Linked DNA regions of Lytechinus pictus. The protein of the gene in region 1 purifies or fractionates together with the protein of each later gene. This does not show direct contact. Links are inferred from orthologs where the notes say so. Each region holds a gene or a part of one and is shown on either strand. Other genes may lie near its edges.

The links.
Region 2: the proteins of FGFR1 oncogene partner 2 homolog (region 1) and programmed cell death protein 10-like purify together in Homo sapiens (affinity purification with mass spectrometry; 3 studies listed by BioGRID and IntAct, counting the BioPlex papers as one, with this or other methods). This does not show direct contact. The link is inferred for Lytechinus pictus from reciprocal best matches to the Homo sapiens genes FGFR1OP2 and PDCD10.

Annotation. Positions count from the first base shown.
Region 1 is NC_087253.1:9,971,847-9,988,975, forward strand, and holds FGFR1 oncogene partner 2 homolog, read right to left. Parts: upstream 9,363-17,129; 5' UTR 9,240-9,362; intron 6,540-9,239; 5' UTR 6,532-6,539; coding exon 6,394-6,531; intron 4,775-6,393; coding exon 4,511-4,774; intron 3,907-4,510; coding exon 3,556-3,906; 3' UTR 105-3,555; downstream 1-104. Other genes in the region: tetraspanin-9-like, read right to left, coding at 16,569-16,673. UniProt on the Homo sapiens protein: May be involved in wound healing pathway.
Region 2 is NC_087260.1:24,495,609-24,512,193, reverse strand, and holds the start of programmed cell death protein 10-like, read right to left. Parts: upstream 9,070-16,585; 5' UTR 8,976-9,069; intron 4,024-8,975; 5' UTR 3,853-4,023; intron 3,350-3,852; 5' UTR 3,251-3,349; coding exon 3,170-3,250; intron 1,562-3,169; coding exon 1,390-1,561; intron 1-1,389. UniProt on the Homo sapiens protein: Promotes cell proliferation. Modulates apoptotic pathways. Increases mitogen-activated protein kinase activity and STK26 activity. Important for cell migration, and for normal structure and assembly of the Golgi complex.

The DNA.
Region 1 (17,129 bases):
TACGAGGTTTCATCAGCCCACCAGCGACAGTGTACATGTACAATGTAATTCTTGGAATTTGATTCATCTGTAGCACATGACAAATAACCAAGGAATGGAAAGACTTTTTATCTTGTTTTTTTCTAAAAAGTTTTAATGTACAATTCATTATATTCAGTCTACACCATTTGTACAGTTGTATACATAAAGATCCAGGAAAAAATAGTGTGCGCTTTACATACAAGGTAAATGGACAATACAATGATCGTGGGACAATAGAAAGATTTTGGGACAAGATAGATGGGATTATATTCCAAATGGTCTAGTGCCAATTCGTCCAATTACAACATGGTCTAATTGCCATTTTGTTCACTCACCATTTCGTCTAATAACCAGTTGGTCCAATAGCCATTTAGTCCACATACCATTTGGTCAAATTGGACAGTGTTAATTGGGCTAAATGAATGAAAATAAAATGGATATTAGACCAACTGGTTATCAGACGAAATGATTATAGACGAACTGGTGATTCGACGAAGTGATGATTGGACCAAAGAGTTACTGGACCAAATGATTGTTAGACGAAATGTTGACGGAATGGCATTAGACTAAATGGAGTTAGAGCATGTGATGAGTTGACGAGATGGCAATAGACGAATTGGCAATGTACTGATGGATGTATAATGACATGACAGTATGCCGTGTGGGGTGAAAAAAGATTAGTCACGCAGCTGCCATTTGATTTTTCTGAGGTAAATCATTTCTAAAACAGTTAAATAAGGACCCAATTTTATACCTCACTCAAAATTTCTTAATTGCTAGGGGTGAATAAATATTGGTCAAGCAGCTGTAATTCAAATTTTCTCAGGTAAATAATTTCTACAACCCTTAAATAAGAACCCCATTTTTATACCTAACCCAAAATATTTTCCAATAATTAAAACAATTTTATAAGAGTTGCTTCCTCACTAATACTGGTCACCTCATCCTATTTAAGGCTAAGCTCTGCGAAACAACTCAAATTATACTATAAGAGAGAAATTAAACTAGAATAAAATGGATTCCAAAAACTTTGAAAAAATTAATAATAATAACATAGTACTTTGCATTTTTATCACTCACAAGTAATTATTATCAACCCTACATGCACTTTCTCCACTCCCTGGGGAGCATTCCAGCAAGAGTTCCAAGACTCAACTCAGCATACTACCTGTATGTACATTAGTCTGCTGTGCAAACCCTTCACTCGAGTTAAGGGTCTGAATGTGCAGCCTACTCATGCCTTCTGTACTGAAGGCCCTCTGAAACAGCAAGGTTTGTACATGTATGTGCTAGTCTTTGCATGGAGACACACTTGCTGATCAAAGTTTCAATCAGGGTCTGTTCCTGCAGACTACCTGTACATAGGCTTTTGCATCCTACCAGGTTCCAATTTAACACCTGGGTGAAGAGTGGCAAAGTGTGGATTAACGCCCTGCCAAAGGACATTAGGCCATGGTGGGATTTGAACACACGAGCCTATGATTACAAGGTGAGAGTCAGAACCGCTACACCACAATGCTTTCACAAACCAGGGCCCTGTCTCACATAGAGCTACGATTAATCTGATCAATCGTAACTATGGACGGCCAGCAACGTCAACATATATTATGCACAGTTTGTTCAAAATAATTTCTAGCTATGATGTATATTCATGCCTTCATTGTTTTCTTGAAAATTCACTGCGCTTCTCTTTGCATACAAAGGACATAGTGCAAATTTTTCGAAGAAAATTTTTTGACACTGATGGATTTCCATAGAGTTACGATTGATCGGATCAATCTTAACTCTTTGTAAGACGGGGCCCATAACATCTAATAGCACCATATGTGCTGCACGATAAAAAAATAAATAAATACCAGGTTCCCCATTTCATAAAGACTTGTTATAATAACAAATGCACAATTTCAATAGCAAATGTACTATCAACCAATCAGATTCGCGGATTTCAGTAGCTTTAAACTGTTATTGCAAATTGTTATTATAACAAGTTTTATGAAACGGGGCCCCAGAAGTAGGGGAGTTGCAGGACCCGAAATCTGGCAAAGAATCTAAAGACTGGCATCTCTATCGATATGGTTGGGACAAAGGGTTTCTGTCTCTGGAGGGGGGAGGGTTGGGGGCCAGGGGGGGGGGGGGGCTCAGCTGCTTTCTTCAATTACAATTACAATTATGTAATTGAAGAAATGTTCAATTACATTTACTTTTCCTTTTTTCAATTACAATTACAAACTACTTTTGTCAATGACAATTTCAATTACTTTCTAGGAAAGTCATAACTGAAATCACTTTTATTCTGTACACATTACCACCTATTTTCAACATAATTCTAAGTTACAGAGAAACTTAAAAGAGAATGGATTCTGCCTGTTTCCCTCTTTGAGCCAGAAGCAGTTGACATAAAAAAGGTCATGAAATTAAATCACAAGTTAACCCTATCTTAACTGGGCTATTTCAGACCAGTATATACTGGGGGGGGGGGGCAATTTCACCCCCCTCAGATCTCGGCCGCTGATCGCGCGATCGCCGCAAAAATTTGCACGCGCGTAGAGCCGGATGTAAACTACAAGACTGTATGGTAAATTTTTATTTTTTATTTATTCTTTATATTTTTGATTAATTAATTATGCAAATAAGCGTATGATAAATTTTGTTTTTTGTGTGTGTTTTTGCCTTTAACTCAATTTATATAGCTAGTAGAATGCTAATTTTTGGTTGGACTATCAATTATTACATTTTTAACAAATATCTACAAAAAAATTGCAAAAATATAATTAATTTCTTATGTATTTTATTGTTTTTTTAATTCTTATGTATTTCTTTGTTTTTACAAACCTTTGTTTTTTATTGTTTTTTCCAATGAACTTTGTCGGGGACCCTTATACGATCATAAATAGCATAAAATAAATCCATTTAAACCAACAAAAGTGAAAATAATCATACATCTATGATTTTTTGTTAAAAAACACAATTTGCATTGACTTTGTACACGGAATCACGTTTTTGAGCAATTTCGGGTCTGACATGCACTTACAAAATGTTGCGTAATTTCAGAACCGCGTCCCCGGGCGTCGCAATTTTGGTCTCAAAAGATGTGCAAGATTTGAAAGTAAAAAGTCAGTGAGCGGCGCGATCAAAAAACTTTGCGCGACGGCGTAGTGATGAAATTTGTCGAGTTGAGGGTCAAATTGACCCCCCCCCCCCAGTTTAATAAGGATTGAGTGTTAAGTTTATTGTAAAGTAATTGAATGTAATTAAAAGTAATTGAAATCAATTACATTTTTTTCAATTACAATCCAATTATTTCCCATTCAAAACTTTAATTACAATTACAATTACTAAAAAAAAATGTAAGTAATTATGCAATTGATCAATTACCTTGTAATTGAGCCCAACCCTGGGTGGGGCACACTCTAATATAATACAATTACAGCTATGCAGGATGTATCCATTCTTGGTCACACATAGAGTTCATCCTTGTGCAGTTTTCATCACGAGGGATTTTCACCCTAGTTCATTTGAGAGAATCTGCCAACATCATTTCAACGGAACACCATTCTTATCCATTTCTATGACAGTTGTGTCGTGTATGACCGGCGTGTCTCTATCACTGTCACTCTCGCTCGTATCGTTTTCCTTCTCCCCGTCCTCTTCGTTGCCCTTTTCCCTCTCTCCCAAGTCCTCGCTGCCCTCCCTGCTGTAGGTGGGTGCGTGCCTCGCCTGGGTTGTCCTGGAGATCTGCAGCAGTTCTCGAAGGCCACGGTTCTCCATCTGAAGTCGCGCCAGGGTTTCCTCGACGTCGTAGGAGCTCTGCTCGTCGACGTCGATGGCCCGCTGCATGACGGCAGCCATCTCGATGATCTTCTCAACCGAGGAAACGGCTGGGTCCTGTTAATCAATAGAGGGAGAGTATTCTGTTTAAAGGGAAGAATAAACTTGTTTACCATAGAATGGAACATACTATATCATGTACAGGGTGGAAAGATCCTTAAAAGAATTACAGTATACCAAGGAAATAAAAACATTATTTTGGGTGTAAAACCAGTAAATTCAACTTTTTCAGCAGTAGCTTATCCTGAAGAGAGTGAGGTACTTGATACTAAAACAGCATGTAGGTTCAAGGGTCTGTTACATAAAAACTTTGGCATTGTTGTATCTACCATGGAAACCTTGATTTAGCTCCTGAGCTCTGTTACCATGGTAGTTGTCAAAATTGCAGTTACCAATGGCGATGATCCTGTGATGGTCAATTATATTTATCATTCTGGTAAATCCTGGATCAGTCCGGGGGCCGTTTAATAAAGCTGTTCGTAAGTTAAGAGCGACTTTAAGAACGACTGGCGATCCTTTCTTGCGCGCTAAATAATCGCCAATCATGCAATGGTGTGTACCATTTACTACAAGAAAGGATCACCAGTCGTTCTTAAAGTCGCTCTTAACTTACGAACAGCTTTATGAAACACCCACCCGGACATTTGAAGCGAAACCATACCTGTTCAAACTCCATCGTCTTCTTATTAGCAATCATGTTGTCCCTCTCAGCCTGGTTCGCGTTGACCAGCCTCGAGACCTGGTCCCGGTAGCTGCTCATGATCAGATCCAGGGCCGACTGATGCTCCTCCAGGGCCACCCGCAGCTCCTGGTTCTCCTTCTGCAGCTCCCTGATCTGTCTGTTCTCCTGCTGGATCCCAAGGATCAGGGCGGAGCGGGGCCGGTGGCGTGCGATGTTGTTCATCTCCTCGATCTCCTCTTGGTACTGAAAATAAAAACACAATCATCGCTTTATACATATTATCATTTATCTACTAATATTCTGCATTTATATAGCGCTTAATACATCAGAACGACGTCTCTAAGCGCTTTACAGACATATTATTACCCCGGTCATCGGATCCTTGCATGCCTGCATACAATGTATACACCTTCTCCACTCCCTGCGGAGCATTCCAAGACTCAATAGCTAGGCATACCTACATATAGGCTCTTACATCCTACCGTGTACCCATTTAACACCCGAGTTGAGAGTGGCAAAGTGTGGATAAACGCCTTGCCAAAGGACGCTAGGCCATGGTGGGATTCGAACACACGACCCTCTGATTACAAGGCGAGAGTCAGAACCGCTACAACACGACGCTTCCATTACACTACATTGTAGCTTACATGTAGTTCAGTAGACTCAGCTCAAGTCAACCTTTCATATTGAACCAATCACAGATATCAAATCATTTCTTTTTTTCAGAACAGAATATGCAAGATAATACGCGATAGCTCAGTCGGTAGAGCGGGGGTTCCGGATTCCGGTGACCCGGTTTCGATTCCCAAGTGGTGCACTAGTGCCCTTTGGTAAGGCATTTATCCTCATTACCAGGTCCCTCCGAGAGGACCTTAAGCCGTTGGTCCCCTGGTTGCTTGCTCACAGGCATTCGTGCTTTCTGAGCAGTCAGGTAAAAAACCTTGGTATGTCTAACACGTAGCATTTTTTTTAAAAGCATTATTACCCGGCTTCAATCACACATACCTGTAAAAAATCTTTAACATGAACAATTTAATGACCCTCCAACTCAAAACCCACAGTAAAATGACCAAAATGAATTTTGAGATTTTCAGTAAGTCTGAAACTGCAGATCCTAAGCCTTTAATAATTCATATAACTTTAACCCTATCAATAATAATCATAACACAAACAAGTACTTCATCGAATTGAGATGTATTTGGTGAGAGTATCATGAGAGAAAAAGTTTTGGAAGTTTAGAATCCATTCATGTGTGCATAGTGAATGTGGAAACTCGGTGAAATTTCCAATTAGTGTGCAAAATGTCTTTAGTATCTCTCTTTGTATTCAAAGTTTACCACTTCAAATTTTGACAATGCCGGTATAAGATGAATAAATACTCTTTTATATGGAGACCAAATAACTATCTTATACCCCTTTCATAAACCTATCTTCCAATTAGCCGCCTAATAGTAATGCGGATAATTCAATAAAAATTGCGTTCACAAACTCCGAAAATTATCGGCATTATTTTTACGAGCGCCCGTCCTGAAAAAGGCGGATAATCGTCATGACAACTGGACACGCCCCCTCAGATGCGATGTGTTGGAAAAGGGTGACCTTGTGACCGCACCATGGCAATTATCCGCATTATTTGGAAATACGTTCATAAACTCAAAATCTTGTCCCGATGCTGCTATTATGCGGATAATTGCAGCATTAAAAAAATGCGGATAACTCTGGTCCTCCTCCGATTTTACGACCAAATTATGCTGCTGTTAGCCGCATAATTGGGTTTATGAAAGGGGTATAAGCTAATTACACTGAGCCCTACACAGTGACTTGTCATAGTTTTTCAGGTGGAGGGTGAGACATTTTAATACCTCTTTCATGACTTCAATTTTCTTGTTCAGAGTTGTAGTTTCTTGAATAAGATGATCAGCAGCACTGTCGTGTTCTTTCAACCTTTCAACCAGCCTTCTTGCATCACACAGTACTTGATCAATGGACAATGTCATCATGCTACGATCTAGGAGGTGACACAAGATAATTTGACGTTAAAATTTTGCAAAAATTTAAAATAGCTTAATAAACTAAGGGCAGGATAATCGTCGTTACTTTGCCTTTGTCATTTAGTCAAGTTAGAGGTATGGGCAGAGCCAACACTACGAGGGTCACATATCTGAAGACTAATACCTTGGTCACATTTGTTCTACGGCGGCCGTACGGCGAGTCGAAAACAGCCGTTTTATTCATTTTAATTCAAACCACCTACATGTATATGTCGTTGGTACAACAAATGTTAAAACAGCTGTTTTCGACTCGCCGTACGGCCGCCGTAGAACAAATGTGACCAAGGTATCGACTATTAACCCTAAAAGGACTGTCGTGTTCTTTCAACCTTCTAAATGCCTTCTTGCACCAATGGACATCATGGTCATCATGCTGTGATCTGAGGGCGATACAAGGCAATACTCGACATTAAATTCACAGTTCAACAAAACTATCATTGTCGCTCTTAGAAGGGTTACATGAACATGCAGATCTACACATCCGGGTCCCGTCTAACAAACAGTTGCGATTAATCCGATCAACCACAACCATGGAACGCCAGCAACATCAACATCTAAAATAATTCGTTTGTAAAAAAAAAAAAAATCTGATAATTTCGATGAATATTCATACATTCATCATTGTTGATTCAGTGTGCTCTTCTTTGTCTACAAAACGACATTGTGAAAGATTCCTGTTCGACCTGTTGGAAAAATTATGATATCGATGGATTTCCATATAACAGTAGTCGAGGTTTATCTGGGCCCAATCTTTACAAAGAGTTACGATTGATCCAATCAATCGTAAGTCTATTGGAATCCATCAGTGTCATATTTTTTCTACCTATAGGAAATCTATAAAATGTCCTTGGTAACGACGGCAAACACACCTAATTGTCAAGAAATCAATGAATTTTAATATTGAAAATGCATCATTTCTAGAAATATTTTTGAACAGTAGTTGAGTTTGATCAGATCTATCGCAAATCTTTGTAAGACGGGGCCCATCGCAACTCTTTGTAAGTGTGTACATTGTATACCTACGCTCCGTACTGTAGTTAGTTTAAGTCATTGATCACAAATTTTGACACGAAAATGTAGATCCCTTAGATTAAAGCTAAATGACAGTAGTTGCAGTAAAATACTGATTTCGTGAGAAAGTCTGTAAAACCAAGGTTAAGTATTACTATATCATCGTGGATCTAGATCTGGTACAGTTACATAAACTGAACTTTGTGAAATCATGATATCTAAGCTAAAAAACTATCACACTGAAGATCGCCAACACAGATCAGTAGAGGCGCACGGCCAATATTGGAGACTGTCTCCAATGTGGGAGATTATCTCCAATATCAGAGACTTTTGTAAAGAATCTAGGTATCCAATTTCAGAGACAGTCTCCAGTTTTGGAGTCCAATTTCCTTTGTTTACATTTGCTGCAAAAGGATTAACTTGGCGGCAAATAAAAATGTGATAAGCAGATTCCTCATGAAAAATTACCCCTTTTCACCGTCTACTTTAAAAATTCACCGTCTACTTTTGTTTTGATAAGGATTTTTGTTGTCAATCACACACAAAACAAATGGGCTTCTGACCTCAGTGAGACAAAATTTTGGGTGGAAAAAATCATGCTTTTGTTGGTGTTGTTTCTTTTGTCCTTTTGCAAAGCAAGTCTCCAATGTGGGAGATTGTCTCCCTTATTGGAGAGAGTCTCCCATATTGGCCGTGCGCCTCTACTGCAGATAGGCACACGTGTGACAGTGTATTAATATTATTGCTGGAATAAAGACCTAACGGAAGTGACAGAATCCGCGCTTATTTTGCTTATTTCTCAGCAAGCACACAATTTCTTCCAGAATCCTTTGGCACATATTTTTTATTCATACAGACATTTTGGTGATCATTATATTAATTTCTGTAAAAAGTCATTTTGAGATCATCCCCACAACTGGAATTTATCTTTAACATCGGCCTGACTGTGTGAAGTCAGTTTGGTCTTTGGATTAATTCTGATTCTTGAAGTCTTCCAATATTGGAAGTCTCAGCCTCAGGCTGCTGAACTTCTGAATTTGGTAGAGTAATATTAGGATTCATACTATCAGAATTAGATTTTTCAAATGCAAAATACTGTACATGCACTAGTATTCAACCCGGCAGTATTCAACCCATTTAAACTTAAAGAACTTCCCCAAATATTCAAAAATAGGGAATTTATCTTAATTTCAGATTTTTCACGAGAGGATAAAGACAGTTTACTAGTGAGATTTATTTCGTCAAAATCATCACTGATGAAATAAATCTCATTGGCAATCTCTCTTTTTATCTACTCTTCAAAGTGGGAACCACCTAAGAAAATTTTCCTGAATTATAGTTTATACGTGACTATACATGCGATCCCGGCATGCGATGTGCCTCAGCTCCGCCTCCTCCGCCCCATTCGATATACCGGTGAAAAGCCAAGGTGTCTCGACCCGCGAGGCGCGGCGTGTAACTAGCCGTAGGCGTAGCGTACCGTACTACTACTACCGGTACTACGTCTACGGTACCTACCGCGCCGGTACTACTACTAGCGTAGCCGGCTGTCGTCACTCGATTAGCAATATGAATTACAAATTTAGGAATATACAAGTGAACAAGATGTCAATGAAATTCATTCAGAAAAAACGAGAGATACTCACAATTCTTTTACCTGCTTTGGGAAAAAGAAAGGAAAGGCATAAAATGCAAAACAAATCCTGTCACTTCCGACTTCAATTTTGGCTTATCTCTCTGATCTTGGCATGCAGTTCACCGGAGATGGCGCTGTTCGTGAATTCGCGACGCGACATCGACATGGTTCCGTGGCTTGGCCGAGCTCGTAGCGTTCCATCCATCATGAAGTCGGTCCGGGATTCGATACCATAAGTTCATAAGTTCATTTTATTTGTCTTCCAACTTTGAGTTTGAATACATGACAAACATATAAGTGTGTATGAAACAATGAGCAGAGTACATGATAAAACATACAGGTATATATAAAACAGAGTATGCAGAAAACATTGTTTTTAAATACATTATACAGCTTAAGACAGAAAAGAAATAATTTTAAAGGAAGACGAGGAGACCTAAGTGAAGCAATGCTTGTAAATTAAGGTTCCTCATTACGAATTCAAAGAACATTGGATAAACAACAAAGAAATGGCAATATAATATAATATGATAACTAAAGAGAGAGGCGGGGAGAGAAGAGGAACACATTTATGTACAAAAGGGAGTACACAAAAGGGGACATATAAGGACAGAGACCAGCCAGGCCCGGGAAAGGGGGGGGGGGGGTGATTATACTGATTATATTGATTATACTTACTTAACATCCCCCCTTTCCCGGAAAAACACGGATGCCCGTGTTCAACTTGATTCATTAACATTGCTCTATAAAGGTATAGATATACAATAAATTGATAAAAGTGCTGCATAATCTATTATGTTTCTGGGAAAAGTATACACTTATCATGTAGTTCTTGACTTTGAAATGTGAATAAAATCTGTTTCAGGTGCATCTTTTTTTTTTTTTTATGGATATGCAAGGCTACTAATACCAACCAATTGGTCCATCAACCGATTAATCACTCACTCAGACAATCAATCATTAAAAAATGTTATTAGTTAATCAATGTCACTGAACTGATACACCAATCAACAGATAAATCATGACTTAATAAAACAAAACAAGTAGCCTAAACCTTTGATCAATCAGGCTAGTTAATCAATCCATCTATCAAATCAGCCAATGAAGCCACTAATCAACCATTCAGACACTATGATCAATCAATCATTCGTTCAATTCATCAATCAGTCAACCAACCAATCGGTCAATCAACCAATCAATCAACCGACAAACAAATCAATCAATTAACCAACCAACTGACAAACAAGCAAATCAATCAATCAACCAACCAACCAACTGAAACACAAACAAACAAATCAATCAATCAACCAACCAATCAATAAATCAACCAACCAACTGACAAACAAACATAATAAATCAATAAATCAACCAACCAATCTACTGACAAACCAATCAACCAACCAATCAATAAATCAATCAATCAACCAACCAATCAATAAATCAATCAATCAATCCATATATCCATCAATCCATCCACTCATCTATCAATCAATCAACCAACCAATCAATCAACAACTAATCATTCAATCTATATATCAATCAATCAGTTTTCACTTTTTGGTTTGGGCCGGAGCTCATAAAAAACATATACTTCTTTAAAACAGTCAATTAAACTTGACAAAAAAGCTTTTAATTTGAGATGCATTCCCTTTTCTCTCTAAATAAAGTACCGTGAATACAAAATCCATAAAAAGTGCACTTATTTTCTTCAATTTACCATGATTCAGTATTTTTCATGAGCAATATACTACAAGGTAATAATACTCACTGTAACAACAATCGATAATAATGAAAGTACTAAAAATAGAAATTAGAGAAATAATGATAATGATAATAATAAAAGTGACAATTACAGTAACAATGTTATATTGATGATATCATATATTATCTTTATATATAAAAATAATGACTATCAAATCACCATCATTATCATTTATAATACTAGAAGAAAAGAAAAATAAAAAAAACCTTCAAAACAGTTTAGAAGTATCCTAATTCATTATGTATTTCATTTTGTAATTTCTAACTCGTATCAAACTCTGGGTAAAAACTCCTTTTTTGACTTAAGATTACTTTAACCAGTTCAGCTCAAAACAGATCCTTGTTAGATCAAATTTATCTAAAATTGAGTTGCCCAGCTAATACACCCCCCCCCAAAAAAAAAAAATTAATTAATCAAATAAAATAAATAAATAAATACAAAATAAGAAAAGGGATATACACTAAGTACTTAATGCAAGGCTTGCAAAATGCACCTTTCTGGCAAGTTAGTAAGAAAGCATCCTAATATTATGCAAAATAAATAAGACTTTAGAACAGAACTTGAAAAGACGAAACTAGTGCACAAACATGTACAGAAAAAAATCGCAGGCAGAGTTGATGAACAGTTAAAAGTAAAAATATGAGATGTTAGCGAATCCAGGGTTCACAAAGATTCACGATTAATCTTACTCATGATTTTCACGATTAATTGTTTGGTAGTGGATCGTATTACCGAACACTTTTCATGAATTCAATCATATCAAACACATTACTCTCATAAAATTCACCAAACTTCCACCATAAATACACAATTACCTACAAAATATAAATATGTAAAAATTTTGCCAAAATCGTTTGTCCCTTTTATGATATAAGCTTCCAATCGGACCCCTCTTCGCATGTTAAATATTTTGGTCACTTGAAAAAGGTATCGTATTACCGAACGTGTGTTTTCTATGGGAAAAGTTGTGAAAAAAACAAAATCACTGATGAGCTATTTTGAACATATTTTATTATTTTTAGAATATTAAGACTTTGAAAATGTGTTTTTGACAATTTTTCATCATCTTTCTATTCAAGTTCCCTTTGAAAGGATGTTACAAAATTTTGAGCTAATGAAATTATTTTCTGACGCGTACGATGTGCGCGTTCGGTAATACAAGGCCGGTCGGTAATACAATCACTCACTATACATGTAATCAATGCAATCAACGGTAAAAAAAAAAAGTTCTACGATGATTGCTATTGTTGTGTTACAGGCCTCAGAAGAAATAGCATAGGCCTACTTTGTGCCAGAAAAAAAAAGGAGATAGATTATCAAAATACAATGTAGGGAGAAAAAAAAAAACTAATTAGTGGCAGATACGAGTAAATATGTGCAGCATAAATGGATATTGGATTTTAAAAAAAGGTTAAAGCCTCTCTGGAAATTAGTGAAAATTATATATTGGGCTACGTGGCAAGTAGACCAACTAGACCAATTAGACGAAACTGGTTGTAGACCAAGATTACACCAAGTTGGATCCGACCAAAGGGGACGTAAATAGAGCTGGCGTAGACTTAATTGAAAATTACTGTTCTGTCTGCCATATTGGGGAATTTTATCATTATGAACACAAACTGCAGATTTTATGTCCATGATAAGATTGCAAAATAGCCTACCGTTGACATGCTAACTGAAAAATATCATTCTTTAGCTCCTTAAGAAAGAAAAATACATGCGGTGCTAGAATTACTTCTGGCGCAGTCACATTTTGTCTACTATGGCCGTACAGTGAGTCAAAAACGGCCTTTTACAATTTTTGTACCAGCTTCATGTATGTGGTTCGAATAGAAATCCGCAAAACACCCGTTTCCTACTCATCATGCGGACACGATACGGGAAATGTGACTGCAGAGGTAATGACCTATAAATAGGACTGCTATACCATTGAAATCAATAACATGATCAACATATTTACCTAAAATACATACAGAATAACATTTCATGGTAAAGAGAAATCAGTACGATATATTATCAGTTTTCCACTATGAAAATACATATAAAATAAATATTTAACCTTCTATAAAGCAGGTACTGCAGATTTAGTACAAATGTTGTCAAATATATACATAATTAGATACCTAGCTTTAAAAACATCATTGATATTTTTTTTTTTAAAGATGGAATATATACAACCATTTTCTCTGGAGAAGACATACTTTGGAAAGACATTTGTGTTTTTGGAATACATTAAGAGGAATGGAATACATGGAGTTATGCAATGCATTTGCTACAATGCTTACGAATATATCTGGTAAAAAAACAGATTTTCTATAAAAAATAAGGCATGTTTGATCAAGTTCCATGACATTTGCTCTGTGACAATTGCCCCGTCACACATGACAAAGCTAAACATAAAACCTGGGCCCCATTTCATAAAAAGTTGCTATGATAGCAACTCTTGCTGGAAAGTCAACTTTCATTGGAAGAGCCAATCAGGAAGCAGAAGTTCTACTGTTGTCATGGTAAATGATATCCCAGCAAGAGTTGCGATCATATCAACTGTTTATCAAATGGGGCCCTGATCTTCAAAAATACACACCTTAATATTAACCTTCATATCAGTCAGAACCAGAACCTTATATATCGTCAGAGATATTAGCAGACGAGAAACTGTCGCAGCAGAAAATTTTGTATTTTTTATCATTACACTCAGTGTGCTCAAAACTTAGTGAGCCCTACCAGAAATTGAACAAATTTAAAATGTTTAAGTTCTGCCATGTTTTACATGGAGCGTTGTGGCCCAGTGGCTAAGTCTTGAAAACAGAGGGTCGTGGGTTCAAATCCCAACCATGGCGTAGTTTCCTTCAGCAAAGTATTCATCCACATTGTGCTGCACTCAAGTCAACCCAGGTGAAGTGAATGGGTACCTGGCAGGAATTTATTCCTTGAAATGCATGTGTGCTGTCATCTTAGTAATTACGGCTGCCAAGCTACAGCTGGGGTAATAATATCCAATTCCTTTGGAAGCGCATAGAGACTTTATTCATGTGATATGTGCTATACAAGAACTGTATATTATTATTATTACTACATACTAAATTGTGAAGTCAGACGATAAAGTATTCCACTCAATAAAGTTTGTTTCTCTTGGCTCGCCGAACATTGTAATATTGTTGCCTACAATCAACCCTCAGCATGAAGGAGTGTATTTTGTGGTGGGGTTCACTAACTTTTGAGCACAACTGTATCATTATATTTAAGTCCACAGTTATCTGAAATGCAAATTCTGCATTCTTTGGTAGTTTAAAATCCAAATTTTGTGTTCTTCAGCGTTATGTACAATAAATATATTACAACGCACTTGTACTACAATGAAAAACCTTACAAACACTGATTTTTCAATAATACATCAGTTCGAACACTGCAGTATGCATTAAAGCAAATTAACACTGCAAACAGGTTTGATCAGTAGATTTTCCACTGATTCATGGTTGTGTTTTCTTGGATTTGCCCTAATTTCATTATTTTTACTGAATTTCATCAGAATTCAACTTCACTAGTCTGAATACTTATACACATGTATTTTCCACAAAACAAAATTGTCAAAGCATTCGAATTGATATCTGATTGCATAGATCATCTTCCTTGCTACCGTCACAAAAGAAACATTAGAATAAAATCTTTCTCTAGAAGAAAGCAATATTCTATAATGACAACTCCCATATGATTTTGCTAAAAATCACCTCATACCTGATTCAAAGTTTATGCATAAAATCATGATTTGTGCAATTTATACATGTGTGCAAATAAAAATGATGTCATGTATAAGAATCAAAACAAATTATAGTTAGGTGGCACAATCTGGCTATTAAAAAAACATACAGTACATGTATTCATTTACATGTTTTTATAATTGCTGGATAACAGAACTTTCTCATTTTACAGTTAAAAGAGTTCCTATTTCATGAAAGTTGAGTAAGTTTGTTGGGTCAAACCATTCAATAAACCACTTTTGTCAATCTATATGAGTTTATTGAGATACTTTGTTACATCAGCATCCAGTATCGCTGTGTGCATGGGTAGCTGTGATGAGATCTGGGGGTCGTTTCATAAAGCTGGTCGTAAGTTAAAGATAAATTCCAGTTGTGGGAACGATCTCAAAATGACTTTTTACAAAATTTAATATAATGATCACCAAAGTGTCTGTTTGTAAATAAAAAATATGTGCCAAAGGATTCTGGAAGAAATTGTGTAATTGCTGAGTAATAAGCAAAACAAGCGCAGATTCGGTCACTTCCATCGGGTCTTTATTCCAGCAATAATAATACACTGTCCCACGTATGCCTATCTGTGTTGGCGATCTTCAGTGTGATCGTTTTTAGCTAGATATTATGATTTCACAAAGTTCAGTTTATGTAACTGTACCAGATCTAGATCCACGATGATATATCAATACTTTACCTTGGTTTTACAGACTTTCTCACGAAATCAGTGTTTTACTGCAACTGCGTTCATTTAGCTTTAAGAGTGACTTCAAGAATGACTGGTGATCATTTCTTGTGGTAAATGATATTTACCATTAAATGTTCATTGGTGATTATTTAGCGAGTAAGAAAGATTCACCAGTCGTTCTTAAAGTGGCTCTTAACTTACAAACAGCTTTATGAAAGACCTACCTGGGGCCCATCTTACAAAGGGTTATGATGGATTCAAATCTGAAGTTGGAAGCATTATTTTACAAGTAAAATTGATGTGAAAAGTGAAATTTTGACAATTGCATTGTATACCTGCTCATGTTTGGATATCAAGCACAATAAAAACTTGAAAAAGTGCTTGAAATATTTTATGTTGTTGTGTCATATCACAGCCATGGCACTATTAGACATTGCATACACTATTACATTTGCTATACTAAACATATAGTTAGTAACTATCTGGCCCTAATTAACGAAGTACTCCTTTCCCGCCTACATGTAGGTTTAGTGGTTTGCATCAAGATTATTTTATCTAAATTCTAAAGCTTTCATGTGCTAGTAAGTACTGATAGAATTGGAATGCCCTCTGAAGACGTAATGAATTTCAGCAATCATAAGAATATGGGCCACATTTGTTCTTGAAGGAAGACTATACTTATTGAATATTATATGTGGATCATTGTGGCCCAGTGGATTAATCTTCTGACTTTGAAACAGAGGGTCGTGGGTTAGAATCCTAGCCATGGTGTAATTTTCTTCAGCAAGAAATTTATCCACATTGTGCTGCACTCAACCCAGGTGAGGTGAATGGGTACCTGGCAGGATTAGTTCCTTGAATGCATGAGCCCTGAAAGGCAGCTCGAGCTAAAGCCAGGGTAATAATAATAATAACATCGCGCCTCGGAATATAATATTTTAGATAGATGGCGCTATATAAATGCCTGTTATTATTATTGTCATTAATTGGTTCTGGACTGTATTATGTATTGACTGAATTTGTACAATCTTCCTGCAAAGTACATGTACAGCTGTAAGCTTTGGTGAAAATCAGCTATTATAAGGGAATAAGGGCCACAATGGTACATGAAGGAAGACAATTCTGCCCTTTGGAGGAAGACTAATCGTGTTCCTTGACGGAGGAGTAGACGCCACACCCACAGCAGTATTTACTTCCTCTGTGAAGCTTGAAGAACAGGATCAATATGAACCAGACCAGCAGGATCTACAGGGACAAGCAGAAAGAACCATCATGAATCATACAACAAATGATGCACAGCTGAGAGTGTGTGCTGAGCACTACTGCCATGCAGCACACCTGATGGTATCTCTGGTTGGGCCACAAGCATAAGGTGGTAGCCCAGAGTGCTTGTGCACATCATTATGAATACGTGCGATGCCTACATTTCCATTAAAATCGCCAACTTAACCAGCGCATTATTTGATTTATAAAATAATTGCCAGCATGAATTCTTATTGAACAATTGTTAAAAATGGTGAAGCTCCAAATGTCCATGGCTCACAAACTAGGACTCTACTGTCTATGACATTTTAAAAGCCTATTGCCACTGTGGTATTTCATACAACCTGCATGCTTCAAGTTGACCCAAACCAAGACCCTTATTTTATATTATGGTTTAATTCAAACTCTGGTCTAAGATATTTTGTAAGTATGGATAGC
Region 2 (16,585 bases), on another chromosome or scaffold:
AATCCTGTATTTTTCAATTTATATTTTATTTATCAGTTCTCCAAATATGAGCTGGATAAACCCTCTCCAGTCAAAATGGCTGATCTTTTGAGGGGCTCCATTCAACCGAATTAGCAAAGTCAGAAATAGTCGTAATTTTACACGACTGTTGACAACTGAATTCTGTTTTGTAAAAAAAAAAAAGCTTTAAGGAGAATGAAACCTTTGGAACAAGATAGCTTGTGTGAAAACAGAAAAATCAAAGAAACAGATCAACAAACGTTTGAGAAAAATCTGACAAATATTGAGAAAGTTATGAGCATTTGAATATTGCGATCACTAATGCTATGGAGATCCTCACTATGGCAATAAGATAAAGATGTGTGATGTCACTTGTGAACAACTCTCCCCATTACTTTAGTATATATTTCAGTTAAACTGCCTCTTTTATCACATCTATCAGTAGATCATGTGTTATTTCTATAGGAGGGCATGTAATACAGATATTTAAAGAATACATCATGGATAAAGAGTTTGTATCACCATATGAAAAAGCAAAAATAGATATTTTGGGTGTATTTTATAGTCCATCAAAGGGAAAGTTGTTCACATGTGACATTACACATCCTTGTCGCATTGCCAATGGGGGGATCTCCATAGCATTAGTGATTGCAATATTCAAATGCTCACAACTTTCTCATTATTTGTCCGATTTTTCTCAAACTTTCTTTGTTCTTATTCTTTGATTTTTGTTTCGACATAAGCCTACTTGTTCCAAAGGTTTCATTCCCCTTTAATACAGGAATCTCAAAGATCTTGAATCTCACTGACTTGTGACATAAGTTTTGTTAGTGTAAGGTTATTTGTCATTAAATTATAAGGATTACAACCACATGCAGCAAAGTAAAAAAGTAGACCAAACTTAATTTTATTTGTGAATTTGTCGGAATAAATCCTGCCTAATCCGAGGTTTTTTGTTTCTTCAGGAACTCTAGAAAACTGAAATTCACAATTTGTTCGAAGACAAAATGATTGTCAAACAAACATCATATTGAAATGATTAATCTTCATGTTAGGAGTAGAGCACAAGATGCACAGATCTGCAAATTTATATAACTTATCCTGTAAATTTATACAACTTATCATCAGCAATAATTATCTTTATCTTTTATAGTGAGAGATCAATTTCATTACAGTTATATGTATACAAAGGGTGGAAATCATACCACGAGTTGATTAGGGGCAAGATGTTACATCCACACTATGTGTACATGTACACACATCATCTAAGCTTTGATCATAGGATTTATTTTTAAATCTGATTGTACATTACGTTCAATGCAATCAATCATGATAATTTGTTCAATGATCAATATCTAATCTTTGTGATATACCAAGGCAATGTCTCACCTTCACTGTCTAATGCTGCTAACTTGAGGAGACTTTCTGTCAGGTTCACATTCTTGGACTTGGCTTCTAAGATACTGTGGATGAGTTGCTTTGTGAAACCTGGTTTCTTCTTCTCCATCTTGTTAAATGCTGCCCTCAAGGTCTGCGAAGCCGCCACATCCGTTTGCTGCATCTGCAACAAAACAAAATGATATTTCTGAGTTATAATGATATACCGCTTAAATATCTCTGGTAGGGGCGCTTTTGCAGAAAGCACAAGTCCAACATATGTGCTTCTAATAATCTGTACTGACCGCACAGAAAGGTTGTTAGCGCTTAGATAATGATAATAATAATATAGGTATATTTACCCAGGAAAGCCACTTCAGTTCTGAAAACTGTTCTCCCAGCGGGCCCTGCTATTATTATTACCCCGGCTTTAGCTGGGCTGCCTAGGCGCTCAAGCATTCAAGGAATTTCTTCCTACCGGGTACCCATTCACCTCACCTGGGTTGAGTGCAGCACAATGTGGATAAATTTCTTGCTGAAGGAAATTACGCCATGGCTGGGATTCGAACCCACGACCCTCTGTTTCAAAGTCAGAAGACTAATACACTGGGCCACAACGATGCACTAACAGATGCCCTGTTACAACCGGTAATGCGCCAGCGATGCCTAATGTTTCAACAATGCATTACTTACACATTTGATTAAATATTTTGACTTAACAATCCGAAAGATGTGACTGGGATTACTGTTAGCGCTCTGATTAGGCTAACAACAATTCTGTGCGGCCGGCTCAGGTTGGTATGCAAACAAGTAGAAAAATGACATCATCCACTCACTATTTCTTTTGTATTTTATCATATGAAATATGAAATGTTCTTATTTTCTCCTCATTGTCAAGTGAAACAATGATTAATTCCTCCCTGAACATGTGGAATTACCACTGTTTAATACTAAATTATTCAGTCAAGTTGATTCTTATCGTCAAATCTGTAAGAAATGAAATACTGTATAATTCAAACAATAAAAAACAAAAGAAAGTGAGTGAAGGGCATCATCGACTGTCTCATTTGCATGTCACTGAGTTGTGCATATCACTGTTCTGTGAAAAATAAGCGAAACTTGTCATAACTTTCATATTTTACATCCGATTTTGATAAAATTTTCAGCGTTACGCTAGTTCGATTTTTCTCTATTAATTCAAATCAATATTATACTGGGGTGGACTTGACCTTTAAGATCACACATGAGTTTCTATTTCAATTTAATCTAATAATGAATTTGGTCAGTCTAAAATCCTGTTCTGTTCCCGCCGTTTAACAAGGGGGGGAGGGGGAGAGGGAGGGGGAGGTGGATTCACCTTGCATTCTTTGAAAAATGTCTATTTTAATTTACCAAACGTAAGGGCTATTTAGTTTGATTTTATGCTGGAAGTGAGGTTAAACTCGTAGCCTAAGATCATCACACCAGCAACTTCTTAAGACTCCCAAGACATGTGTAGCATATGGTGCATGAACTTTCTCTGACTCAGCACCTTCTCTCTGGAATAATTTGCCGTTAAATTTAAGAATTATACCATCACTGGAGACCTTCAAATCTTAACTGAAGTCTTATTTTTTCTAACAGAATTACTTATTGGCACTTTGACACTCATCCAAACTTTCTCATTCTTTCTTTTATTGTTCGCCTCGGAATAGAATATTTCTAGATAGATGGCGCTATATAAATACCTATTATTATTATTATTATTAAACTACACTGAAAGACAGAGATCACAATGGAAAAGTAAACCTACCTCATCAAGGATGGGATATAGGAGGATGTGAAGAGGGAAGGATTCAACGGTGGATGTATCATGTTCATCTTCCATGGTCATTCTGTTCGTTGACCGGGCTGACCCGTTTGCAGTCGCAATGGTGATGGTTTAGTGTGGTACCAGGCTATGCGGACAAACAACAATCTCTTCCTTTCCCCACTGTAACAGTAGATGAAGTAAAAATGAGAACTTTATACCTGTGTTTATATAGCATTCCTATTCACCAAACAAGGTCCTACAGGATTACTCAGGACTGCATAGCTAGGCAACAAATTGCACAATTATAACACTCCAGAAATTTCTGCCTATCTGGCAATTGAAATCTACAGTATGAAGACAATTTAGCAAATGTATTATACATACAGATTTATCAATGTTTTTCATATTTAACCTTTCCTCAGTCAATGTTGCTCACACAAAAGCCATCTGTTTATGAATTATGAATTTATGAATTATGAATTATGGAATTTCCCAATTTAACAGCAATATATGGTCACATTCATTCCAGCTGACAAAAAAAGACACCAAGAACCTCTCTCACAACTAAACTCTCAACAAAACTCTCCATTAAAATAAGTTACACATTAAAGATGAGAAATCCCATATTGGATACAACAAAATAGAAATCATAACTATAATACTGTAAGGTTGAGATTGTTTACCTTTTCAAGTGGCACAAGCTTTGACAAAGCTCAACGTTCCTTTCTTGAATCAAGCGACTTCACCAAAAGAATATCTTGGTGCCGTTCTTCCAGTCTACTACTTCAACCAGAAGAATGGTGTGGAAATCAACTTAAACCATGAATCCCTCTGCAGTCAAATCATCATTTTACCTGTAGATAATAATAATAGGCATTTATATAGCGCCATCTATCTAGAAATATTCTATTCCGAGGCGCATTCTTATTATTATTACCCCGGCTTTAGCTCAAGCTGCCTTTCAGCGCTCATGCATTCAAGGAATTTATCCTGCCGGGAACCCATTCACCTCACCTGGGTTGAGTGCAGCACAATGTGGATAAATTTCTTGCTGAAGGAAATTATGCCATGGCTGGGATTCGAACCTACGACCCTCTGTTTCAAAGTCAGAAGACTAATCCACTGGGCCACAATGCTCTACAAGATCATAGATAGAACAAAATAGTTAATCAAACATGAATAGTGGAAATGACTGTATGATATTGATAATTCAAGAACTCAGTTCAGCAGTTATTACATCCTGGATCCATACCGGTAATTTGATGAAAATTGAATTATTGTGGAAAACAATGATTCTAGTGTACAGGAGTGCTGGACCCATCTAACCTCAGTTTAAAAAAAAACTTTATAAAATGAAAATAATTACCGGTAAGAGATTAATAAAAGACAAATAACTTGAAATGTTGACTATATGAAAGGAAATAGATGAATACATGTATATGGCAACAAGAAGTTCTAACATTAAGATAGGCCTATAATATTATCCTGAAAAGCAAAAGTAACGAATAGGCCTACAATAAGAGATAAAAACATTGAAGAGACAGATATCAAACAGAAAAATGATCTTTTATTTTAGCGCTTTTGGGGGGGGGGGTAAATCACCACAGAGCCAGTGCACTGTGAAATGAGTTCCTTTGGATGGTGCATAAAGTTTAATGTTAGACCCCTTTATACTATGATACTGATATTATTTTACTCTCCAAATCTCAATGCTAAATCAGAAATTTAATATATGAAAGGGCCAAAGGATTTGGTCAATACTTGTTCCAGGATAGGTTTGGGAAATTAAAAACAACAATTAAACGTAGCAAAGTTATTCATGTTATGTTTAAAGAACTGTTTGCCTCATACCGGTAGTACTGGTACATAGCTCAAAATTATCTGCTCTCGCTCCGTGCTCGCATTCCATAATTATTTTACTATTTTTTAAAGTGTGTGAACAAAAAAAGCTTTAATTCCTAGGGTTTGGTCACTTAGACCAAGTTTAGGCTCGCTGTATTATTGTCTGATTTTTTTTTTAAATCAAACTTGAACAATCCAGGAAATGTCTATGAATTTTGAAAAATTTGGGATTCAGTTTTGTAAAGTTAGTTTTGGATCTGTAAAAAGGTTAAGACTATATTGGCGTCAGTTTGGCAGACTTACTACCCAATAGGGTTTATTTAGTCAGACTACAGTACGCCTCATGAATATTCATGGAACAGGATATAGCATAATTTCCAACGTATCGATCAGCTTATCTGGTGTTGCGCGATCGGTAAAACGAAGCGCTATTATGAATTCACTGCAGTCACGATCATTGACGCAGGCTCGAGTCTCGCCTTGAACGATTTTCCAAGTTTTATCTCTTTCTATAAAAAAAAAATCAAGGAAAGACTCTGAAAAATTACAAGTCCAAGATTTTTAGTCTGATTCAAATCCTCCAAAACAGACTTACATGTAGCCCTTATCGTATGGCTATGAGTCTGCCGAATCAACGCCAATAGTCTTAAAGGGGAAGTTCACCCTGACAGTTTTTTGTAAAGATAGCTGAAAAAATATTTTTAAATAATGCTGAAGGTTTGAGAAAAATCCATCAAAGAATTTAAATTATTTGATTTTGATTTGTGACGTCATATGCGAGCAGCTTTACTACATATGATATCGAATGGTAAAAAAAGTCAATGAAATGTAATTTTCTCTGGAAATTGAAAATGGTTTATACTGCACCCTTATTATATCAATAAATGGACAAATCATTTCACACCCATTCCTAAAAAGAAATCAAAATAAGTCATCACAAACCATTAAAAACTTGAAATTTTTGCATTTTCTATTACATAACATGGGCAGCTGCTCGTTTATAAAATCCAAAACTCTAATAGTTTTCTTAATCATTAGATAGTTTAGTTTAATGGATTTTTATCAAACCTTCACCAATATTTTTTATCATATTTTCTGCTATTTTCACAACAAACTTTTCTTCAGGGTGAACTTCCCCTTTCACCCTGTGAAAACACTGATTTCATGCTCATACAGTGACATAGACAGCTGTTTCGAGGAGTTTTGTAACATTTTTAATTTTTTTATTTCTCCTCGTACACAGACGGCTCGCCAACATGCACCCGCCATCAGGGGGTTTGCAATACAAAAAACCCCCGACGTGGTTCTTTGATTTTTCACTTTATTCTAAATACATGTAATTACATGTCATAAACTCCCTAGTCCCAGTATATCCACTCATTCAATGAACAAGGTTATGATATAACCTTGTTCTCACTTATATCTCCATGTGTGGCAAAATAAGGGTGACAATGTTTGGCTTATTTTCTCTTTTTTTGGGGACAAATGCTTGATTTTTTTTACACTGACAGTTTCCATTACACCTATTTGTCATACAACTTGGCCCTTAAGTAAATTTGATTCTTTGAATTATTTTTTTCTTAATTACAAATAGAGATAAAAAATGAAAATTTTCTTGCCATATTACTTTCCACCAATAGAGGGCGTACACAAAAATATGCCCAAAATTCAAGTTTTTGAGCGCTCTAGTGAATACAAAAATTATTCCCAAGTTACTAATGAAAAATAAATTGCAACTGTATGGAAATTACGGTAGTAATTTTGGTCACAAAAGTGATATTTTAATGTTTTAAAGTGTGTGCTCTGTACAGCATTGGCATGCCATAGTACCTGTACTGTAGATTCCCCACAGGCAGGATGGTTGCAGTGAACAAGTGAGTATATCCGATGGTGTTATGATATTTCACAAACATATGGCCGTTGGAAAAACTTTCGGGTTGAAACCATTGGCCATTGGATTGCTTGTAAATCGTACACAGGCGACAAACGTTCAACTCATGGAAACATCCGGGCACTGTAAGTGACGTTAGGGTCAAGGAGTGAAGTCTGTCGTCACTTTCATGAATATTCAGAACCAAAATGGCAGCTTACATTACAGGTTACAACGAACGATTGGAATCTCATGAAGAAATTCACTCATTCGATGAACAAGGTTATGATATAACCTTGTTCTCAGTTACATCTCCATGTGTTGCAAAATAAGGGTAGCAATATTTGGCTTATTTTCTCCTTTTCTTTGGGACAAATGCTTGATTTTTTTACACTGACAGTTTCCATTATACCTATTTGTTATACAACTTGGCCCTTAAGTAAATTTGATTCTTTAAATTATTTTTTCATAATTAAAAATAGAGATTGAAAAATGAAAATTTTCTTACTATATTACTTTCCACCAATAGAGGGCGTACACAAAAATATGCCCAAAATTTAAGTTTTTGAGCACTCTGGTGAATACAAAAATTATTCCCTGGTTACTAATGAAAAATATATTTCAACTATCTTGATTTCTTTGTCTTCCGCTTGGCGACAGCACGCAAATCCCGCGATTGCGTGCTGTCGCCAAGCGGAAGACAAAGAAATCAAGATGGCGACGTAAACACGGCCGTAAGCTCTTCCCATCTTTTCATACCATTTTTCTCGTTTTTTTAATGAATTCTTCTTTAAAAACGAAATCGATATCGCAGAAATGTTGGAAATGAAGTTGAACCCCATGTACATGTTTTAGGGCTAGATCTTTTAGAGGGAAAGTAGAAATCTCGGGGGCGAAAGTTTCAGGTTTTGTGGCCGTACGTGCGTGAATATACCTTGGTGTCCCAGGCGTCAGTGGGGAGTAAGCCTACGTAGAGTAGATGACTTTTACTCCCCAGACGCCTCCTGGCTAACTGCACCTGACCTAGTCTAAATACATTTAAAAGAACAATTGGACATTCACAGTAGAGGCGCACGGCCAACATTGGAGACTGTCTCCAATGTGGGAGATTATCTCCAATATCAGAGACTTTTGTAAAGAATTTGGGTATCCAATTTCAGAGACAGTCTCCAGTTTTGGAGACCAATTTCCTTTGTTTACATTTGCTGTAAAAGGATTACCTTGGCGGCAAATAAAAATGTGATAAGCAGATTCCTCATGAAAAATTACCACTTTTCACCGTCTATTGAATCTATTTTAAAAATTCACCGTCTACTTTTGTTTTTGTTTTGTTGTCAATCACACACAAAACAAATGGGCTTCTGACCTCAGTGAGACAAAATTTTGGGTGGAAAAAATCATGCTTTTGTTGGTGTTGTTTCTTTTATCCTTTTGCAAAGCAAGTCTCCAATGTGGGAGATTGTCTCCCCTATTGGAGAGAGTCTCCCATATTGGCCGTGCGCCTCTACTGATTCATTGGTCCAATCTTCACTATGTAGCACGTGATCCAACTCTTTACAGGACTACCTTCTCTTCCGTATATTGCTGATGCTGATAGCCGGCCTTGTCTAGGCTCAGTGATCAAATGACAATATCAAAATCGTATTTAAAAAATATGATCACCGAGTCCTCTACTAGTCTAGACTAGACTCTAGAGTCTAGCCTCTAGGCTACGCCTAAGTAAGATTGAACTTTAAAGTTTGAGTTTGAAATTGAAGTAAGATAGGGCTGTCATCATGACGATTGACGATAATCTGGATATCATTGTCGATACAATTTCACATTTTCGATGTAGCCTAATAACCGGCGAGTCCAAACTCGATCTCACTATAATAATTCAAGAAAGACAGGATCAACAAATGAAAAAAAAAAAAAAACCCAAACAATTAATGAGTCATTGATCAACGAACACGACGAACGTCAACAAACGCCAAACGGGTTAAATTAGGATACATAAAATTTATATTTAGAAGCTAAATATTGCACCCTTCGTAAATTGTTCCCAATCTACATTAACTAATCATTATCTTATTACGACATAATCATTAAAATTACCTCTATGTCATTCGAAATCCTTCAAATAATTCAATCAAACGTAACAGGTAGTGTGCGGTATTGAGTTCCGTGCAAAATATCTTATCTCAAGTCCCACGTACTAATATTTGTGTATTCTTCAGCTTTTCTGTTCCTCAAAAGACGAAATTTTGAAAGGCTTTATTTTGTGATATAAAAATATTTTGTACAAAATTTTGTGATTTTTTTATTCTGTAAAAATATAAATAGCATTAAAATTATTTTTAAGATAATTTTCTTGAATTTTGTAAAGAAATGACGATGCAAATAACAAGTATTTAAGAACAAATTGGCAATATGTATACAATTTGGGTGGAGTCACTTTGCGAAAGATTCCAAATCAGATTGCTGAGATTCGAGAGGGGTTAACAAGGTGGGGGTAATAAGCATAGCGGGCGGAAGCGGGGGGGGGGGGCGGGGGGACCGGGTCCCCCCTAAATTTGAGGTGGGGGACGATCCCCCTAAAATTTTTGCTGATAACCTTCTTTTTTTTTTTTTTGCTTGTCAAAAAATTCTGTCGGTCCCCCCCCCCCCTCTAAAATTTGGGTTGATATATAACCTTTTTTTTTTTGGTTGTCCAAAAATTTTGGTGGTCCCCCCATAAATGTTTTGGCTTCTGCCGCCAATGGTAATAATGGCCCAGAATGAGGGGTGTGGCGGGGGTGTGGTCAGTGGTCATGGTCAAGTGTTTTCGTTGTTTGATGAGTTATCGTTTTTAATATGTCAGTTTATAACTGTTTTTGAAGACATTCAAGTGAATTTGATAGATTCACCTTGTCAGTCCAACACGGATTGCTTTCCAAAAAGATGAATGAAATTCTTACAATGCGACATGCTTCCCTTGTGGACAGGGGTTAGAGAGACAAGTCCCCGAACTTATTCAACAGACAAGGGGGGCGGGGGGACAATGATCCGTTTCAGATCTGTTTGCTAAAAATTTCAGCTCGTGCATGCTTAACCTTTAGCCTACGCATGGGACGCATGCATTTGATAGTGAGCTTTGATAGGCCTATGTATCACGGTCTCGATGAATTCCTACAAACAGTCCTTGAAATTTTCCTTTTACATGCCAATATACCAAACATTTCAATTTCAGCTCATGAACGCGATTGCTTTAAATTATCGTTTAGTACGATAAGCCTGCTATTCATGATTATAAAAAGAGTGTCAAATGTCCAGTTCTTTTAAGGTTAATATAAAATTTCAACTCGCACTTTTTGCTCACAGAATAATTAATTTACTGATAAGTAGTCTCTTCATTACTTATTTTACATGTCAAACAATGCTTAATACATCATTTCCAGGTGAATGTTTCATAAAGCTGTTTGTAAGATACGAACATAAAGATATACGAATGACTTTACGCACGACTAAAGAGGGCGGTGTATAGGGACACTAGTAAGAACATGGGAGCGACCGCCTATATATGATTTTTCAAATTAGTGAAAACAAAATAGAAAGAAGAAGGGAGAAGAAAAGGGTAATTAAAAAATTATATGGGTCGTGAAACAACATGAGCCATTCGCATTTTGAGAACGACCGTTCCCCCCCCCCCCCCCCCACCCCCACCCATCCCTCATCTCAGTTCAATTTCAATTTGTTAGTCTATGGTATAGGGACGTTCCCTCCACTGGCTTTACATTGATAAAATTTCCAGAAAATTGAAGATGTTGAAGCGACTAAATTGACAAAAAAAATGAACGAAATTACATTTTTTGTTATTTTTTTTGCAAACAAAATGGACAGATAGAGGATGTGAGATGGGGAGATAGTAGAGGCCCATTCTATAGGACTGCTCAGGGCAATTTTGTACTAATTTCACCCCCTCTTCGCCATTGATCTGTATACAGACCAGTGCTCTTTGGTGATCTGTACACAGATTAATTCTGTTCGCTGATCTGTATATAGATCAGTGGTCTTCGCTGATCTGTATACAGATTAGTTCTGTTCGCTGATCTACATGCAGATTAGTGCTCTTCGCTGATCTGCATGACATTTTATGCAATGTGATACAAGCTTCTTTAAAGGTCAAGTCCACCCCAGAAATTTGTTGATTTAAATGGATAGAGAAAAATCAAACGATCATAACACTGAAAATTTCATCAAAATCGGATGTAAAATAAGAAAGTTATGACATTTTTAAATTTTGCTTATTTTTCACAAAACAGTTATATGCACAACTCATTGATATGCAAATGAGAGAGTCGATGATGTCACTCACTCACTATTTCTTTTGTTTTTTATTGTTTGAATTATACAATATTTCAATTTTTACAGATTTGACAATTGGGACCACTTGATTCAACCACAAACTGTTAAAATAATGGTAATTGCACATGTTCAGGGAGGAATAAAAGTTTGTTCCACATGACAATGAGGAGAAAATTCGAATTTTTCATATTTCATATAATAAAATACAAAAGAAATAGTGAGTGGGTGACGTCATCTGTCTGCTCATTTGCATACCGACCAGGATGTGCATATAACTGTTTTGTGAAATTAAGCAAAACTTTGAAATGTCATAACTTTCTTATTTTACAACCGATTTTGATGAAATTTTCAGTGTTGTGTTTGTTGGATTTTTCTCCTTTTATTCAAACCAAATTTTTATTGGGGTGGACTTGTCCTTTAACCGTACTTCACCCTCTTTACAATTTATCTGCTATATCATTTTGATTATTTTTTTCATATCTATATCAATGAGGTATTGCCAACCTGTTTCTGTGAATTGTACATCATTATTTTGTTACTTTTTAATTTCTATTTTGTTTTGATAATTGAAAAATAAACCATTTGAACACTCTCTTTATCATTCTGTTCTAAATATTAGATAGCGCCCTCTTGATAATTATGCGTCTTCATTTCGGGTGAGTGCCAAGTAATCACTAGCATCCACTTTGCAGACGCTTTCTGCAACGTTCAAAATCTATTGAAAATGCCCGTCATCATAATGGACAAATTAGAGGTCATTGTCGAAAGTTGGTGGACAGGGACAGCACATCGTCTTAAGATTCGGATCGGAAAATTTGCAAATATGTTGTTTATCCAGAGTCCAGGACGACACTACTGTTTTGATTCACCGATTTTGACAAAGGCTGCTTTGTTATGAAGGGCTTTTGATAAAAAGATTATCTGTGTTGTATATTAGAAAGAGTCTGCAAAGTGATTGCTAAAATGCTCTACTGATTGTGCACGAAACTAACCGATGCAGTACCATCATGACAATAATTCCATTACAGCCAGGAAGCAAAGGCGTACTAGTGAAAGGTCTAAAAAACAAGAATTCAATAAGACTGCCCTTGCTCGCCATTTGGAAGTAAAACAATTCTCAGTTCATGGTCGAAAAAAGTCAAACACTGTACGTTTGTTGAGAATGTGATATTTATTGATAAAACTTTGCAATTAAATTTTCTTGAATTGGCATGATTTTTTTTTCAAGAGTCGAACCCCGGCAAAACTTAAAACACGAAGAATGTGTATTTCTTTCTTTTTGTTATAAAACCCCCTCTCTGTCCTGGAATGGATAGAACATTTCTTATATAGGTCCCTGATAAGTAATTCAACTACAATTTCAAACAAGTTGAAACGATGTTTGACATTATATGCAACGCAGTAGTACTCTGAACTTTACAGTAGTTTTAACAGTTTAAACAACAATGCTTAGTTTATTAAAAATTTTAAAAAAAATAATAATTTTGTTGTTTAAGATTTTAAAAACTTTAAATAACTACTGCAAAGTTCTTTAGTAAACAGCGTTGTATGGAAAAAAAAATAAACAGCGTTTTTATTGTGTATAAAGTGAAAATATTAATTATTGTATAAATTATTTAATATGAAGAGATCGTGGATGCGTTGAAGAACAGGAGGGATCCGGTATTTAATAAATGGTTGAGGGTACATAAGAATGTTCTAATTTATTTGACCCTTTGGCCCTTTATGACGAGCATAAAGAAAATTAAAGAAAAAAAAATTAGGGGCGGTGTGGGACTAGAACCGTCAACGGGGCGGGCCTACAGACACAGACATATATACAGACGCCTGGGATTGTTTCTTTCGAATCAGTTTTGTTTTTTAAGATGTTAAAAATCTTAATCTGTTTCTTTTGAATCATTAAAGTAATGACCACTTTATATCCTGACCCAAATCCCTCATCTATGACTTGTTGTTGACTATCATGAGCAGATGAAGCTTGTTATCAGTGAGTGATAAACTGTTATTCAAGTATATAGGGCCTAATCGAAATCCTGATATTTGATTGGCCAAAAGCAAATTATCAATTACAAGACACTTAATAATATCCACCCACTATCCTGCAATTGATGTTTCAAGTTTTGTTTTGTCTTTTGCCTTTTGAATGAAAATGAAATGCGGTGTTGACAGATTGCTTTCACGTCTTGTATTTCTTAATTGAGCTTTTTATACTCATAAAAGCCGAAGCTAAATCTATTAAGGGAATGAAGATGGCTGGTTTGTTTGACCATATAGAAAAGATGGTAACAAATTAGGCCTTTATCAGGCGGTATAGTCCATGCATTGGAAGGAAGGGGACATGCTTATAGTTTTAGCCAATTAAAACTATTCTTCCTCCTTTTTTTTCTTTAATTTTCGTCTCCCTTTTTTCACTACCTGAAAAGCGAACGGACTGTTCCCCCCTCCCCGCCCCTCCACTCCGTGCCACTGCTCCCTAGCTAACTGCGACTTGTTATATGTTACCGATTCATTCTTCGAGTTCATTAAAATGATTACAATAATCTTTTTTATATACTTTTTACGATATTTCTATTCTTCAGGTAAATGTCGTAATACATTTGAACTAATTTTTACACATTTCAAATCCAAACAAATTTCTGTTTATTGAGAAAAAATTGTTAGAAAATTTACTGATATAAACATGGATTGGGAATTAGGTGAAATGTTCGTAATAAAATAAATGAATTTCACATATTAAAAATAAAAGAAATACATTTCAAGCTTCAAACACGAAATTCAGTTTTAGCATAGACTGGTTATCATTCATCGGGTACAATATCTCTCATTATACTTTAATGCTCGCATTGTATTGCAAAAAGATTTCAATTATAGATTTGGTAGTAATTTCTGGTGATTCCAACTCACATTATGTCATGTAGACGTTTACACGTCAGAAAGACTGGCCTCGTAAAAGACTTCTAACGGTTGCTCTAATCAGTTCTGCCAGTCATGCATATGAGCTCATAAATGGCTCATCATTTCAACCAAAAGGGAAATTTATTCAGAATAGATTTGATGTATATCATCTAAGGATTTGCGTCATTCTTTAGGATTTGATATCCTGCCAGTCATAATTTTGATGAATGCAATAGACGACAGCGTATTATCAATCAGTAATTATTTATTCAATTTCCTTATTATAAACAGCGCCGTCAATGTTCAGGTAAAGTAATTCAAATTAAATACAAGGTTATTAGCCATGTACGTATGCGGCGGGAAGCCTGGACGAGTTCCTATACCATGTATACAGGGGTTACTTCACAGAAACAGAAACAGAAGATGTAACACCTCACAAAATTCATATAAAATGAGAAAAAATTACTACATCATTAAAGCCAGATAATATATAGCAAATGTGAGTGTGTATAAAGGGGGTGGGGGTAGATGACATTTTTTACATGGTGTAGCAAACAGTAGGTATTGATCCTACTCCTATATATGTCATCAATTCATATGAATTAGCATACAATATTGCTCTTTTTAATTCATGCTACATGAATACTGATAATTGTATAGCTCCGTTTTTATATATTCCGAGGCGCATTAACATTTTCTAGATTTTGTGACCTTGTTGCGTTCAGGCTGTCTCCCCCCCCCATCTCTATACTTCACCTGGGTTGAGTGCAGCAAATACACAACTGTCATCTCTAACCTTTCCTTCTGTATACCCTACTGGGTCCTAACAACCCGTTCATGTGTTATTTATTCTATTGTATCATCTCACTGATCTTCGTTTGCTCGCATACGTCTGTTTTTTTAATAGATTAAACTTGATCTCATTCCATTTCATACATTTTCTTTTTCTAACCGTCCTCTACCCTCATGTCACTTGGTAGGACTGAACCCCACCCCATATGTGACGGGGTGACAGTCTCCTACATTGTTCCTGATGTGAAGAGGATATCGTCCCCCATCCCCTCGCGGAAACATGCATAAATGTCAGCTTCTAAAACGTAAAGGAATAAGAAAAAATAATTCAGCAAGGAATCTTTCTATTTCCTTTATTTATTTCATCTAGCTTTTTTTCTAAGCGGGGGGGGGGGGGGTCCTAAATATTTGACAAGCAAAAAAGGGTTTCACTACAAAATGAAGGTAATTTCGGTACTGAGAAATTTGACAAGCAAAAAAAGGGGGTTGGCTCCAAAATATAGGTCATTACTTTTTATTACTTGGCAGCCCAAAGGGGGGGGGGTTAAACCCCCTAACTCCCCCGGCCCCGTAGATCCACCTCTGAATATGCAAATTAACGTTTCAAAATTCACGTTCATATTTATTCATATTCTCGAACTTCCAGGTTTTGTACAATTTTCTGAACTATAACCACGGGAGGCCTAAACTTTAGGCAACAATGTGAGCGGGATTTGCTGTTGTAAAATTTACAAGATTTTGAAGCCATTCGGACGATGAGACATACTCCCTATATGCCATCGCTGATGTTTCGGTATTCTTCCTATCTCGCTAATCTTGCTAAGAATTTGATTTCTCAAAGAAAATTTGTACAATTTCAAGAATCAAAATGTTTGCCGGTGACGTTGTCATATATGAATATAATTCCCTTTATGTCTTTTATTAATCAATTCGTTCTTGACAATTATAAATAATTTGGATAAGATAAGATAAGATTTATTGACTCTATCGACCCCCTCTCGGGGTATGAGAGTACAAACATAGAAACATATTTACAAAAGATATACAAACATAATAAATGTGAACATAATAGTATATAAAAATATTCAGCCTATATTGAATGCAGAGTAAATCCAACATGTAATGTACATGAATGATATAAGACAGAGCATAAGAGTTTAATATGGATTGTATAGATTAAATAAACAAAGACTAGTATCGTACTTGAGCTACATTTTTTTAAATTGTATATTGAAATGATTTGGTATTTTGTTAGGGTGTAGACCTATATAAACCAATGCTCGAGGGGAAGGCGTTTCTCGGTAGTTTGTTTTATACTCGGTTCTATAAAATGAATTTTACCTGGCATTATCAGTACTTGTAAAGGCATATCATTTGTGATGGGGTGGGGCATACATCTTTTAAATTATGATACTTTACCCCCCCCCCCCATCCGACCCCCATCTTTATTCTGCCTCCCCTTTCTTCTTTTCTTGCAATGTATTTTATTTTTTTATATTAATGTCTAATGCCCTTTCCCCTTCGGTTTCACCATTTGTATTACATTCTTTCCCTTTTTTTTAACACGGCAGTCAACATATATTTTTTCTCAGCAGAGACAACAGAGTGAAATCTAAATATGAATATTTCAAATCGAGAATATTTAGCCACGGGCCTCATGAGGACACCCCCCCCCCCCCCCAGTGTATTTCTTG